Diceros bicornis minor: one gene and its partner. The protein of the gene in region 1 purifies or fractionates together with the protein of each later gene. This does not show direct contact. Links are inferred from orthologs where the notes say so. Each region holds a gene or a part of one and is shown on either strand. Other genes may lie near its edges.

The links.
Region 2: the proteins of HNRNPA3 (region 1) and HNRNPH1 fractionate together in Homo sapiens (co-fractionation; 3 studies listed by BioGRID and IntAct, with this or other methods). This does not show direct contact. The link is inferred for Diceros bicornis minor from reciprocal best matches to the Homo sapiens genes HNRNPA3 and HNRNPH1.

What each region holds. Positions count from the first base shown.
Region 1 is NC_080749.1:57,778,125-57,785,615, reverse strand, and holds the start of HNRNPA3 (heterogeneous nuclear ribonucleoprotein A3), read right to left. Parts: upstream 3,007-7,491; 5' UTR 2,970-3,006; coding exon 2,898-2,969; intron 871-2,897; coding exon 748-870; intron 659-747; coding exon 512-658; intron 430-511; coding exon 219-429; intron 1-218. UniProt on the Homo sapiens protein: Plays a role in cytoplasmic trafficking of RNA. Binds to the cis-acting response element, A2RE. May be involved in pre-mRNA splicing.
Region 2 is NC_080740.1:92,600,650-92,607,663, forward strand, and holds the start of HNRNPH1 (heterogeneous nuclear ribonucleoprotein H), read right to left. Parts: upstream 3,011-7,014; 5' UTR 2,992-3,010; intron 2,510-2,991; 5' UTR 2,481-2,509; coding exon 2,384-2,480; intron 1,130-2,383; coding exon 974-1,129; intron 763-973; coding exon 619-762; intron 1-618. UniProt on the Homo sapiens protein: This protein is a component of the heterogeneous nuclear ribonucleoprotein (hnRNP) complexes which provide the substrate for the processing events that pre-mRNAs undergo before becoming functional, translatable mRNAs in the cytoplasm.

The DNA of each region.
Region 1 (7,491 bases):
TGACTTTGAGTGGGGATGAGGGAGCGATCTGGGATGTTAATAACGTTTATTTCTTGATCCGGATGCTGGTTACACAGGTGTAGTCACGTTATGAAAACTGAACCACACATTATATACTATTATGTATGATATACAATTATAAGCTTTTGACCAAATCTAGTGTAGAACGAGAAGTCGTTTCTGCTTTCTCATTCAAGTTCCAATAAACTGCTACTTACCAACAATTTTATCAACTGTATCATGATCATCAAAAGTTACAAAAGCAAATCCTCTCTTTTTTCCACTCTGCCTGTCTTCCATAACTTCTATGGTTTCAATCTTGCCATACTTTTCAAAGTAGTCTCTCAAATTATATTCTTCTGTATCTTCTTTAATACCACCCACAAAAATTTTCTTCACTGTTAGATGGGCACCAGGCTTTACAGAATCCTGCAAATAAAAATTTCCTAAGTCAAAAAACCCAAAATTTTACAACAATTTCATGTTACACAACATGGTATTAATAAGATACCTCTCTAGAAACAGCTCTCTTTGGTTCTACTACACGCCCATCAACCTTGTGTGGTCGAGCACACATTGCTGCATCCACCTCTTCAACACAAGAGTAAGTCACAAAACCAAAGCCCCTGGAACGTTTTGTTTGGGGGTCTCTCATTACCTACAAAATAAAAATTTAAAAACACTGAAACACACCTCCAAAGCTCCTCTACCCTTTAAGAATCTCTTTTTGCTCCTTTAGTAACTTACCACACAATCTGTAAGGGTGCCCCATTTCTCAAAATGTTCTCTTAAACTATCATCTGTAGTTTCAAAGCTCAGACCACCAATAAACAGTTTTCTCAACTGCTCTGGTTCCTTTGGATCATGGCCCTGAGGAAACAAACCAATACATTTTAATTATTTCTTTTACTAGGTGAATTGCTAAAAAAGATTTGCAAGCCTTTAATCTGCTCCAAATAGTAACTCAACATCAAATTCCTGTACCATTAACACTTTGTCCAGTTAAAAATTACAGTAAGATCACACACATCAACTGATTAAAGGAAGCAAAAGACCAAGAAAATCTATTACCAGCCTTTCAAATGACATCACTTCAACTAAATTGAAATCCAACCGAATTCCAGAATCAAAAGCCCCTTAATTTAAAGCTACAACTACAAGAGTGTGGGATACATTATTTCAGAAATTGCTACTGAGAAACCATTTTCTAAGAATGACCAAAGTGTTGTAAAGCAGTGTTTCATCCATGCCATTTCTTTTCATGTTTTCCCTCCTCAGTCTACATCCCAACAAGTTTTAATTTTAAACCACAAAACTGTGAAGTACAACTTAAAAATTTTAAGTGACAAATTTAGAGAAAGTCACTGGCTCAGGCAAATCAAAATGTTAAGACAGATATTCCTCAATAAAAGGCTAAACCAGCATTTACCCTCAAAAAAACCTATGGAAAAAATCCACCACGTATCTTAATAGCTTTCTGTAACCAATTTACGTTACAGGTTACATGCTGCAAATGACCTATTTGCACTGGTATCAAATGGCAAAACTTCAAATATAATACCTCATAAGGTAGAAAAAGGGCAACGTGGACTTTATAGCATATACTGCTTGACCAGAATGGAGCACAATAGAACAGAATTGAGATTTTTCTTAAAAATTAAGATGCGGCCTGAATTCTTTTACAACTACCTGTTTAAGAAATTACATAAACTGCCATTTAATGCATGCATTAAGATATCGTTCATCCAAAGTCCTTAAATGAAAGAGCTCACATTTACATTCTAATGTCTTCCTGTGTCTTCTAAAAGTAGACTTAAGTCATTTAACATGAAGAGGCTGTCACGCGCTAGAAAAAAACGTTAAATGATTAATAGCCTAAAGCATTAATTCACTTAGTCTCATTTTCTCGTCTAGGTTAAATGCGTTTAAATGACAATATACAAAGTTCACAAAAAGAAACAATTATAATCCACTTAAAATTATCTCACATGAAAAATTCAACTGTGGTTGCAGTCCTCTGAAACAAAAATCCAAGAAACTACAACCAGAGCCGACCCATCATGAGAAATGAGAAAAACGGAGATCAAAAAAATTTCAAGTTCCTATTTCACATCTACACTCAAGTTCTGAGATAGAGTACTTCACCCACATGGCGCGAAGATAGGTATAATTCTAAGTAGTTTAGCAAGAATAGCAGATCAGGAAGCATTTTTAAGCAGCAAACTTTTTAAAAAATTCATATTTCCAACTGGGTGCTGCGAAGAAAAGAACAGGATAGAGAATTAAATTCTCGTTGCCTTAGAGAGGTCTGTAAGACCTAGAAACGCGCCGGCAGAACTTCAGCGAAAGCACAACGCCCGAGCTTCGAGGCCATTTGCGGCATTTTTTGCCGAGCTGCCTCCTCTCTCTTCCTTGCAATGCCGCGCTCTTTCCCGGCGGCGGAGCGAGGCGGCGGCCATTGCGGGCCAATGCGCCATTTCGTAACGCGGCAGCGGATCAATGTCAATGTGGCCGCCGCCCGCCTGCTTGCTCGCCCGGATGTGCCTGCTCGTCCCCTCCCCTCCCCCACCGCCTCCTCCCAACCGCTCCCGCCGAGGCCCGCCATGCCGCCCTCGGCCCCGGATGCGAGGCCGCGCGGCCGGCGGCCCGGCTCGCCTCCCGAGGGCTCCCCAGCCACGCCGCGCCTCCGAAGAGCCACCTGTGCAGCCGAAGGAGAAGGCGAGGCGGACGAGGGGCCCCGAGGAGGCCTCCGAGGCCCGCTCCCCTCCCCCTCCCACCGCCCGTCTCAGCGCAGAGCGCGGGACGGCCGACCCGGTCCACCCGGCCTCCCCGCTCCCACCGAGCCAGGCCCCCCACGCCGGCCACTACCCGTCAACCCCCCGCTCTCCCCCTAATACCTCCTCCCCCCGGCGGCGGCGGCGACGGCCGGAGTCGGGCTGGGGGCGACCGGGCGGCGGTTTTACCTCCATTTTGAGACCGGACTCGCCTCTTCCAACTCGAGTTCAATATGGGACCGAGAGGAAGAGGCGGGGCCAGCCGTCACGTGACGCGCTTTCTGCGCGCCGCCGGCCCGGTGGGGGAGGGGCGAGTTGGAAAGGGGGCGTAGCCAACTGGGCGCGAAGAAGGACTGGACGAGCGGGTTGGCGGGCGGAGGGCGGGGGCGTGGCGGGTCGCGGGAGCGCGCGCGCCTCGCCAACTTCCAGCGCGGCGCCGCCCTTGCCGCGGTTCGCGCTCGGGCGGCTGCGGGGACGTCAGCTCGGGCTCAACCAATGGCGAGCGCCCACGTCGGGAGGGCGCCTCGTGACCGCGCGTCACCGGAGAAAAAAGCCTTTCCCTTTCTTCTCGCGCGTTTTTCCCCCCTCCCCCACGTAGGCCCCTGGGTCTCCGTTTCCGATTTCATTTCATTCTCGTGTCTGAATAAAACCACACTTCTTTTCTCCTGTACTACTTTAAGGTTACAAGAAAGCCCTCTCGCGGCGTCTTCTCGCACGTTTCCAAATGCCAGGGACCAAGTTTTGTGACTGCGATGCCCACTGTGAGGGCCTGCACTGAAAAGCCTTGCGACGCCGCCGTATATGAATCTTGGGCACCTTGGAAAAGCCTTAAAACGCGGCTGACATACTGAAATTTCACCTTTAACGAGCTGAGGCAGGACTGATCGAGGTCAGTTCGTTAGGGACTCATTGATCTCAAGAAATCTGTCGGCACCATTTTCTAACACTTTTCTAGTTAGTGTGGAAAGAGCTGAAGCAAATGTTCGCACCGACGGATTTTAAGGAAAGGTTTACAAGGTTTCCAAAAGTAGGATCACCACATATGCTATCTGTTCGCCAGTGATTTTTACCTTAATTTTCCAATTGTGTTGTGAAGTGTAATGAACGAGCTCAATTAAAGAGTTAAAAACTAGAGCTCTAATCCTTTCTCGGCCTAGCCAAGTGATTTTAAATCATTTGACCCTTACTGAGTTTTAGTTTTAATTTTTTCAATAAAAATGGGGATGAGATTAGGTGATCCCCAACACTTATGATAGTCTTAAATTAATGGATCCATGTTTAAACAAAAGTGCTGGTGAAAGTGACCGCAATTGACAAGTTTCCTTATCCTGCTAAGAAATGCCCTGTATTTTAATGTAGCAATGCATATGAGCAGCTCCTTTAGAATTGATCAGGCCCTCCCTTGGAAGATTAGAAATCTAGTCAATTATAGTGTAAATTGTTTGAAAAACAGTTTGTGTTAATAAATGGGGAATGGTTGGCTTGGAGTTTGGAAAAAGGAAACACAAAGAATAAGAATTTGTTGATGTTTATCAAGCATTGGCCAAGCGGAACAGGAGTTTTATTTGGGAGACATAAACAGAAGGTACTCTGCTCCAGGATAGAAACCAGTCACCAGGCCTTAATGTAACTTGGATGAGATAATCTTCCAAACTAGCCGCCTCCTGTTGCTCTGATTCCATTATCACAAGCAAACTATTATGTGTTCTGCTTATAAGGTACTCCTCATAGCCAACAACAGTGCTTGAGACAATGGGAAAATTTATATTCTTATTGTCTCATTAATATATCAAGGCTTTGTGAGTTTGATTACTATGAAATAGTCATGAATAACTTGATCAATTCTGGGTATGTACAAAAACACAAAGTTAAAGACCTTAGGAAGATGGTATTCACAGCAAGGTACCCTATGAGACACTGCAAGGTTGATCCAAAAGGCTGATCGCTTGGCTTCACTTTAGGGCATGTTTGGGTATTTTCTAACCAAGTTGTTTCTAATCAATAACTTCTGTTATTATTCTTTCTTCTTTGAATTGTATTAAATTCTTGTATTGGAGAAATGATGAGGGATGGGATACTAAGTACTTCCATACAGGAAGGTGGTCTGTCAGTCCATTTATTCAGGTATTTTGTCCTTCAGTAAAATGTGGATTCTTCCCTTTGGATTCGTCCAGACTTGTTGTTCATCCGGCCTCTGGGTTTTAGACATTAGCTATTTTTTATGCTTTTGTCTAAGCTTACCCTCCAGCTCTGGGGCCACATGGTATCTAATACAAATATCCCTGCTCAAGATCTTTACCCTATTGGACAGAGCTGAACCGTGCCTCCTATCTGTCCTTGTGGCCCTGGCTGTCTTTGAAATGTGAGAGAGAGAGTGTATGGGGTGGGGAGCAGAGGACAAGGGTCCTAGGGTGGGATGGGGTGGCAGACAGACTTTATAAATAATCTATATCAGCGCCTCTCAACTTCTTTCATATCACAACACATACAGAAAATAAGTTTTATATAGCACACTAGGTTACAAAAACGAAGAGATTTGGAGGCATCTAAATGATGGTTGGTAAAAAAATAAAATACAACGTACCAGAGAAGATATTAAAAATTGAATTTGGGGGCCGGCCTGGTGGCATAGCAGTTAAGTTCTCGTGTTCCGCTTTGGTGGCCCGGGGTTTGCCGGTTCGGATCCTGGGTGAGGACCTACTCACCACTCATCAAGCCATGCTGAGGCAGCGTCCCACATAGAAGAACTAGAAGGACCTACAACTAGGATATACAACTATGTACTGGGGCTTTAGGGAGAAGAAAGGAAAAAAAAGAGGAAGATTGGCGACAGATGTTAGCTCAGGGCCAATTTTCCTCAAAAAAAAAAAAAAGGGAACTGCTATGGCTTTTAAAAAAATTGAATTTGAATAAAACTTTCAAGTAAAATTTTTCCATCATTTTTAATGATCGACTTGATCTTGTTTCTGTGAGTATATTTTGATATTAGGTTTTATGGTTTAAATGGCTTTATGCAGTTTCTGATCTAGACTTTTTAATGACAAACTCATATTCTGAATAGTAATTATCAGTGAGGGACTCTGATCACAAAAGTGGGTGATAAAATATTTAAAACCATTTTATACAACTATTCAAAATTTACAGTGGTAATTATATTTAAAGAATAACAACTCTTCCTTTTATTGACTAATGTAATGTTGCAGTTTCATATGATAATGCAAATGGATTTCAAACCCAGTAGTACATTTTTATATCAAGATTTCCACATTGAAACTCTAGCTTTCAGAACGTGCATGCATTGTCAACAGCTAGTCTGGGGGCCATTAAAAGAGTGCATCACCACAAAGGGATAGAAATAGCCACTGTATGTTAAGACACATATTAAGGGCATTGCCTGGAGCTGAGCCCACCAGGAACCCCGCTCTACTCAGGCTCCTCTCTCACACCCCTAGCAGACTACCTCTGGGGCTGTGTGCTATGCCCCTTGGGTACCTGGATCACAAACTTGTGCATTGGCTTCAGAGACTCTGATTCATGGTGGGCAGTGGAGTGCTTTGCAGATAGATGCCCATGTGGCAAGCATCCTTGGCCATCCACAGACAGGAGAACTGTAAGTGCTGGTTGTTGTCCACTGTGCTTGCTGCATCTTTGGCATAAGCCCCAGACTGCTCTGCACAGGCTGCCCTGAGGAGCCCTAAACAAGCCTGCTTATGGCCGGAGGTACTGGCCCAGGAGACTCTGGCTGCCCCTGACTCCTCTCAACTGCTCCATTGCAGGAGGGATCAATTTCTCACCCACATTCAGGACACCAGTGTGCCAAAGCCCGCTAGTTGGGAAGTGCTGTCTGGATTGTACACTTCATTTTATGAATGAGGAAGCTGCTATGCAGATCAAGGAGTTGATTTTTCCAAGATTAATAGCAAATTATGGCACAGTTAGTACTGAAAGAGAACGGAAACTTTTTTTTTTTTGTGAGGAAGATCAGCCCTGAGCTAACATCCATTGCCAATCCTCCTCCTTTTATTTTTCCCCAAAGCCCCAGTAGATAGTTGTATGTCATAGTTGCACATCCTTCTAGTTGCTGTATGTGGGACGTGGCCTCAGCATGGCCGGAGAAGTGGTGTGTCGGTGCATGCCCGGGATCCGAACCCAGGCCGCCAGCAGCGGAGCACGCACACTTACCCGCTAAGCCACAGGGCCGGCCCGAGAATGGAAATTGAAAATATTTTGGACAGGAGGAAGGTAATTCTTAGAAGGGAAGAATTGTAATATACAATAAACTTTGTTATCTGCCAGTGAAAATTCAGAATACACCAATAGCTTTATTTTTCTAAAAATCTTGATTTTTAAATAAGGAATATATAAAATAAAACACAAAACAAAACAGAAATCTCTCCCCTCAAATCCTATTACACAGATCTAACCACAGTCAACAATGTAATAGGGGCCAGCCTGGTGATGTAGTGGTTAAGTTTGCACGCTCTACTTCGGCTGCCCAGGGTTTGCGGGTTCGGATCCCAGGTGCAAACCTACACATTAAGCCACGATGTAGCGTATATCTTTTTACATTTTCTTCTAGGTCTAATCAATGCTTTAAGTATATATGAATGTGTATATGTAGCCATTTCTGTCATTTCTACAAAAATATATCAAAATATCCAGATTGATCTGAAATTTCCTCTTTACCTCCACTTAACGAACCAGTCATTTATTCAAC
Region 2 (7,014 bases), on another chromosome or scaffold:
ATATTCTGCTAAACATGCAATTTTATCAGTTCTTCAGCATAAAAACATTCAAATACTTTAGGCCCAGAACAATTTCAAAACACTTTCTGTATTTCAGATACTGAGACTACATTCCACCTACTCTTACATTAGACTGACTTTTAGTTAAGTTTATAATTCCCTGGCTAACTAAACTAGTTGCTTCCATAAATAGTTTTTTTTGCATCAGAGACAATTCTAGTCCCATGACCCAATGTGTCTTACGACATAGACACTTGGGAGAAATCACAATCTAACTCATGCTAATCTAATGTGAAGGGATCTTACCTTTAACTTGAAGTACTTTGCTGAACAGCATTGTGAGGAAAGGAGTTAAGCTGTTGAGGACAATCCTCAAAGATCTACTCTGCACTATAATACTAAATACAGGCAAAGTTAGCATTTTGGAAGTACTTAATTTCCACCTTTAAGATGGGCTTAAATTATTTGAAGGTCTCCAGGAAGAAAAAACATTAATTCACCTGCATATACTCACAACCTGTTTTAATATCTGAGCTGCTAAACTTTAAGGTCTATTAAATCACACGTTGCCAGAAGCTAGCCAGAATTCGCTGCTCAGCAACAAACACGACTACATACCTGAGAAGAACTGAACAATTTCTTCCTTGCTACATCCAAAGGGGAGTCCTCTAAGCCGTACAAAGCCATCATTGGCCGTGTCAGGACTATTTGGACCAGTATGCTTCAACACCCAATCCATTTCAACGTTGTTTGACTTGAATACTGAAAGAGGTGCTTAGAATTAGTCAATTTTGGAAAGTTAGAGAACAAAGTTCAGATTTCCTGGGTCTTTAGATAATCTAGGAAGAGCTGCCATAAACTCCCTTAGATGACCATTTCCATGCGGTCAAATACCTAAAATTCAGAAGGGGTAAGATAGATCTCTCTGTGTTTAATGTTTTATTTACTGTTACTAGGGCAACGTAAATCAAACCTTCAACATATCTGTGTCCCATAGTTTCTCTGTCTTTTTTCAGGGCCAATTTGACTTCATCTTCTGATTCAAGTTCAACAAAAGCCTCGCCACTCGGTCTGCCTTCTCTGGTGTAGATGAAACGAATACCTTGAGCCCCATTTTGAATTTTGCAGTCTGGAAAGAAAACAACCGTTAATACAGAATTTAAAACTTAAAACCACCTCTGGGTGATACAGATGAACTGCCTCCTCATGCCCCTACTACAAAGTAGATCATCTGTGAAGCCTAAAATGACCAAATTATTACCAACTTCTAGGATGTCTCTGTCCAGTAATTAAGCAGTTATCCTCTCTCCATCAAACTTTTATTTCCTAGATGATATATTCCCAATCCATCAAAAAAATCCAATATTTAAAGCAGTTTCTAATGAAGTTATCTCTAAGTCCTCACTACCCAAGTGTCTCCCATTCAACATTTTTAACTGGTCAGCAAATTGTCTGGACTTGGTTATTTTGTGGCATTTCCTGAATATACTTAGTTGCAACTTTTCGTCTGCGGCATTTGACCGTTTTACCTTACTAGCAACATGATAGTTTCTTTCTAATCCAAATCGCACTGCCAATACTCACCTGAAAAGGGATCAATGTTACCAAGCTAAAATGCTCCAAGTTGCACAGCTGAAGCCAGACCCAGTCCTGCCCACTGCAAGGCGGCTTCCAGTGTACTTGGTTCTCGTTTTACAGGTCGTTTTCCGTAACCCACGCTAAATTCAGACAGTAAGTCAATACTACAAGTGTCCTTCCAAAACCCGGAAATTTCTTCCATCTTCCAAATATCTTTATCAGTCTAATCTTACACTAATGAGAACAAGGACGTTTTGGTAAAAATTATTCAGGATACTAGAAAAAACTAGATAGGCAAACTTCCCTGGGCTTCCGTGTCCTCAAATGTAAAGTGAGCCAGATCAAGAACTAGATGAGCAAGAACTCTTCAATTACTAAATCTTGATTAGGAAAATTGTCTGAAATTAAGAAGTGACATTTTAACTTTCCGAAGCAGAATGCCCCTTTTCGACAACATACTTTGAAAACTAGAAAGTATACGTTCTATCTTTTAAGACTTTGCAAAACATCACTATTACGCGCGCAGCTACTGGGCAATTCTCTCAAGATTGAGGAGGAAATCCCATCTATCCTTTGGAAAACACATTTACAGGAGGACTAGTGCTCGAGAGTAGGGAAACAAAACAGCCCGCCGGAGAGGCCACGCTCTCCCGAGGGCGGGGGGGCTTTCACAATTTCCATTGCGTAACGGCGGCCGGCGGGATCAGCGGTCGCCCGCCCCGCCAGGGGGCGCCCCGTCCGCCCCGCCAGGACGCCGGCCGCCCGCTGCCCCGGCCGCCAACTCCCGCCTCCGCTCCAAACTCACCAGAGAAGAACCGCTGCACTTCGTCGGCCGAGCAAGACCAGGGCAAGCCCCGCACCTTCACCACGAAGCCCTCTCCGCCCTCGGTGCCCAACATCATCGTCTCCGGCGGGTGCTGGCGTCGACAGACTGCGGGGCGGGACGAGGTCAGCCCGGGAAGCGCTCAAACCAACTGCCCTCCGCCCCAGTGGCGCCCGCTGCCCCGGCGCCTCAAGAAGAGCCGAGCCCGTGCGCACGCCCCAACCCCGGCGACTCTGCCCCCCAACACCCCGCGGCCGGCGACCGGGCCCCCGAGGCCGCTGTGGGCACCAAGCGCCGGCGCCCCGAACCGAGGAGTCCCCGGCCGGGCGCCAGAGTGGAGATGAGGAAATGGCGGCGGCCGCTTCCGCTCCGCCTCCTCCGACGCCTCACACAATAGAGGCGGCGGGGCCTGCAGGCCTCGGCCGCCCTGCGCGGCTCGGCGAGCCGCTCCCGGCTCCCAGGGGCAGCCTGCACCTCGCCACGGCCCCCCAGGCTCTACAGAAGTCTAGGGACACGCACTCCTCGCGAAAACGGCATCCTCGAGGGCCCCCGGGGGGGGGGGGGGCGAACACGGAGCGACACACACTCACCCAGACAAACGACTTCAGCGTGGCTGAGAAGAAATGGCCAGCGAGCGCCTGCGCAACCTAAATAAGGCCCTTCGAACAAGTTCTGCGCACGCGCAGCCAGAGGCCCGCACCGCCCGCTTGCGTCACACAGACATAGAGCGCATGCGTAATTTCATGAGCAAGCTCACCTCCAGCCAGCAAGTTATTGTGCGCATGCGTCTTGAGCTCAGCCCCTCCCACCTCCTTACACCCGCCGGGCTTTTTTGCGCCTGCGCCTTGTCGCGATTATTGAACTTCGAGCCTTGGCGGTTTAGACAGTCATTTAGTTTCATGCGCATGCGTCTTCCTTCAAGCGGTTCTCGCCCTACCCGCCACAGTGGGGGAGGGGAATGGCGGCAGTCAGTTCCCTATGGGGACAGTGTGATAGTCCCGGGCTCTGGGTCGTGGCGAGGGGGCCGTCTTCCTACCCCTACCCGCAGCCTATTATCAGCGCTCTTGGCCGACCTGAAAGGACAGGCTCCCCGCCCTCGCGCCACCTGTACCCCCTTTCTCCCTAGAGCCCGGCGATGACCACCGGGCCTCTCTTGGGGCTGCGGGGCCGCGCAGGCCTGTGCCTCCACCTTCCCGTTACCTGCCGCCGTCGGGCCTGGGCCCGGCCCGCGCGGGGTCCCCGTGCTCTGACTCAGTCCCGCACCCCGCCTTCGCCCTAAGGAACTCGCCCCCCACGACCCCGCCGCCCGCCCCAGGGTCGTGGGCCCTGACGCCGCGGGGCGCTCCTAGAGAGCGGGGACCGGATGTCGACTGCCGCGCGCGGGGGGAGCGCGAGCGAGCCGTCGGCGCGCGCCGGCTCTTTCCGGCTTCGTTCCCCCAAGACTAAGTAGGTACCGTTACATCCATTTCCCGGGTGGAGACGCTGGGAGGTGACCCAGGGTCGCCGCGTGTGCGCATATTGCACGAGACGAGCGATGGTCTCGATTTCCAGGTGCGGGAAATTGGAACAATGCCCGCAGCCCCTCAGGTCTCCCCTTCTCTGATCCTGCCAGTCCTTCCCACCTCAGGCCCGGTGGACACAGGCAGTAAACACATTAAAGATAAGGCAGTGTTGGACGTTAGTGAAGGCCTCTCTGAGTGCCACCACGGGAAGATGCGGACAAAGCATGTTCCCTCCCAAGCACAATGGTCTGGAGGCCAAATCCGGTTTTGACAGGTGTGAGAAAACAGAGACGACATCAGTGAAATAAAGGGGGAGGGTGATCCAAGATAGGATCCCAGAGCTAGGCAAGGCCTGATCTTGAAATGACCTTGAAATGCCATTTAGGCCTTGGCAAGGGTGTTAACTCCCGGTGCACGGGAAGGCATTGGCAGGTCTTCAGCAGAGAGCGAGAGGAGCTGTTTGTAAAGGAAAACGCAGTTGCTGGGAGTGAGGGGGACACAGATGGAACAGGCAGGGTGAAGGACGCTGCCTGCCCTCAACTGCAAACGGAGCTGGAGGAAATGGAAGGCCTTTTGACTGATGTCACCAAAATGTGGACTCCCAAGTCTTCCAAACAGGAGGTCTGTCTCTGGGTGATTCAAAACCAAGGAGAGGGGCCTGCCCCATGGCACAGCGGTTAAGTGTGCGCGCTCCGCTGCCGCGGCCTGGGGTTCGCAGGTTCGGATCCCTCGCGCACATGACGCACCGCTTGTCAAGCCGTGCTGTGGTGGCATCCCATATAAAGTAGAAGAAGATGGGCACGGGTGTTAGCCTAGGGCCAATCTTCCTCAGCAAAAAGAGGAGGATTGGCATCAGATGGTAGCTCAGGACTGATCTTCCTCACAAAAAAAAAAAAAGGGAAAGAAAAAGCAAGGAGAACACTTTTTGCTCTTGGATACTCTCTTTCCAGGACATCACCAAGACACCTCCTGGTGTGTCTTCTTAATAGGTGACAGCATTTGAGAGTTCTGGTCTTATTAAATGACCTAAGAACACTAGTTTCTGATTATATGAGGGAAAAACCCTGATCCCCTTGGTAGTGCATAAAAAATCATATTTTTACCTTTTGTAACAACAAGGCCACATTTCTAAAGTGTTTATTTTTCCTAATTTTTTTCTAAAGTTTTCTCGGATTTTCTTCCTTAATAAGAGTAAATGTCATGTATAATCATCATAGAAAGATTAGATCATATCCTTAGGATAGATTTCTAGAAGTAAAATTATTCAATGGGAGGTCTGAGTATTTTTAGGACTACTAATAAAAAAAGGTTATGGCACTTGACAACCCTCTCTGTGGTGTGTGAGTGTTCCATATCCCCTTGTTTTGCTGACACTGAAAATTTCCTTTCCTTTAATCTCTGCTAATTTAATACTGAGAAGACTCGTATCTCTAATTTGCATCTGTTTATTACTAGCAAGGTAAAGTAAATTTTATACACTTATAGCCAATTCCCTCTTATATAAACTGTCAGTTTGACTTCTTTCTCCAGTGATCTTTGGTTTTTATTAAAGCTATTAACCCTTGGCCATAGTTGCCCCAAATGTTTTTGTTTGCTTGCCTTTTAATTGTTGTTGTTGTTATTGGTTTTTATGTTTAGACATACAGAAGTTTTTTGTTGTTTTGCTGAGGAAGATTTGCCCAGTTGCCAGTCTTCCTCTGTTTTGTATGTGAGCTGCCGCCACAGCATGGCCACTGATAGATGAATGGTGTAGGTCCGAGCTGAGGAGCCTAACCTGGGCCAATGAAGTGGAGCATGCTGAACTTAACCACTAGGCCAGCAGGCCTGGCCCCAGAAGTTTTTAATTTTGATGAAGCCATGGGTGCTTTCCTCTGAGTCTGTCTTTAAGCTCAGAAAACCCTTCCCTATACAGAGATAAAGCACATATTTATTCATTATCTTTTTTATCAATTCTAAAACACACATTTTCTCACAGTTTAACCTCTCTAAAATAGCAATATGTCTTAAAAACCAATGGCATATCATAGTTTAATTGGCAGCATTTTTTTCTTAGTGGTACACAAATAATGGTGTGTCTTAAGATTGATGATACCTTAGACTTGATGGAAACTGTTATAGTCTACTTTTTTCTTTAATTTTTTTGATGACAGATTACAGCCATTAAAATTATGTTTTATAGATTTTTTTTAAATGGTGTGAAGAAATGTTTGTGATATAATGGTTTGTGGGGAAAAAAGCAGAATACAAAATTAAAAAGTGGTATATCAACCATGTAAAACTCTGTCAATGTTATATTAAAGCACTGTAGCCCCAGCACAGAAAGAAACAGCTCAGTGGGACAAAATCTAGAAACAGGTCCAAGGTGTATTTGGGAATTCAGCATTCAATGAGGTGATATGTCACATCAGAATGAAAAGAATTTTCTAAAAATGGTGTTAAATCCAATGACTAGAAATTTGGGAAAAAATAGTATTCACACTATACATCAAAATAAACTCTAAATAGATTAGAAAGATTTATGGGCCGGCGCCATGGCTTAGCGGTTAAGTGCGTGCGCTCCGATGCTGGCGGCCCAGGTTCAATCCCGGACGCGCACCGACGCACCGCTTCTCCGGCCACGCTGAGGCCGGGTCCCACATACAGCAACTAGAAAGATGTGCAGCTATGATGTACAACTATCTACTGGGGCTTTGGGGGAAAAAATAAATAAATAAAATTAAAAAAAAGATTTAAACTTGAAGTATGTAAAGCTAAAGGTACTAAAATAAAATGTATGTGTTTATAAATTTTTGAGATGAGGAAGGCATTTCTAAGTGTGAAATCAAAGACATAACCACAAAGGGAAAGACTGGTACATTGGCTACAGAAAAATAATTTTTAAAATTCTGTATTGAATAAAGCGAGAGAATTGAAAGACAAATAAATTGACAATTTGCAACACATTTGAAACACAAAGAATGTATGTGTGTGCATGCACACAGTGTGTGAAATATATACACACGTAAATATATACATATGTACATAAATAGACAGGAAATGTTCACTCTGTCCTAGTGTGTTACATACAGTATCTCATCTAAATAACCCAATGGGAGATATGTACTATTATTA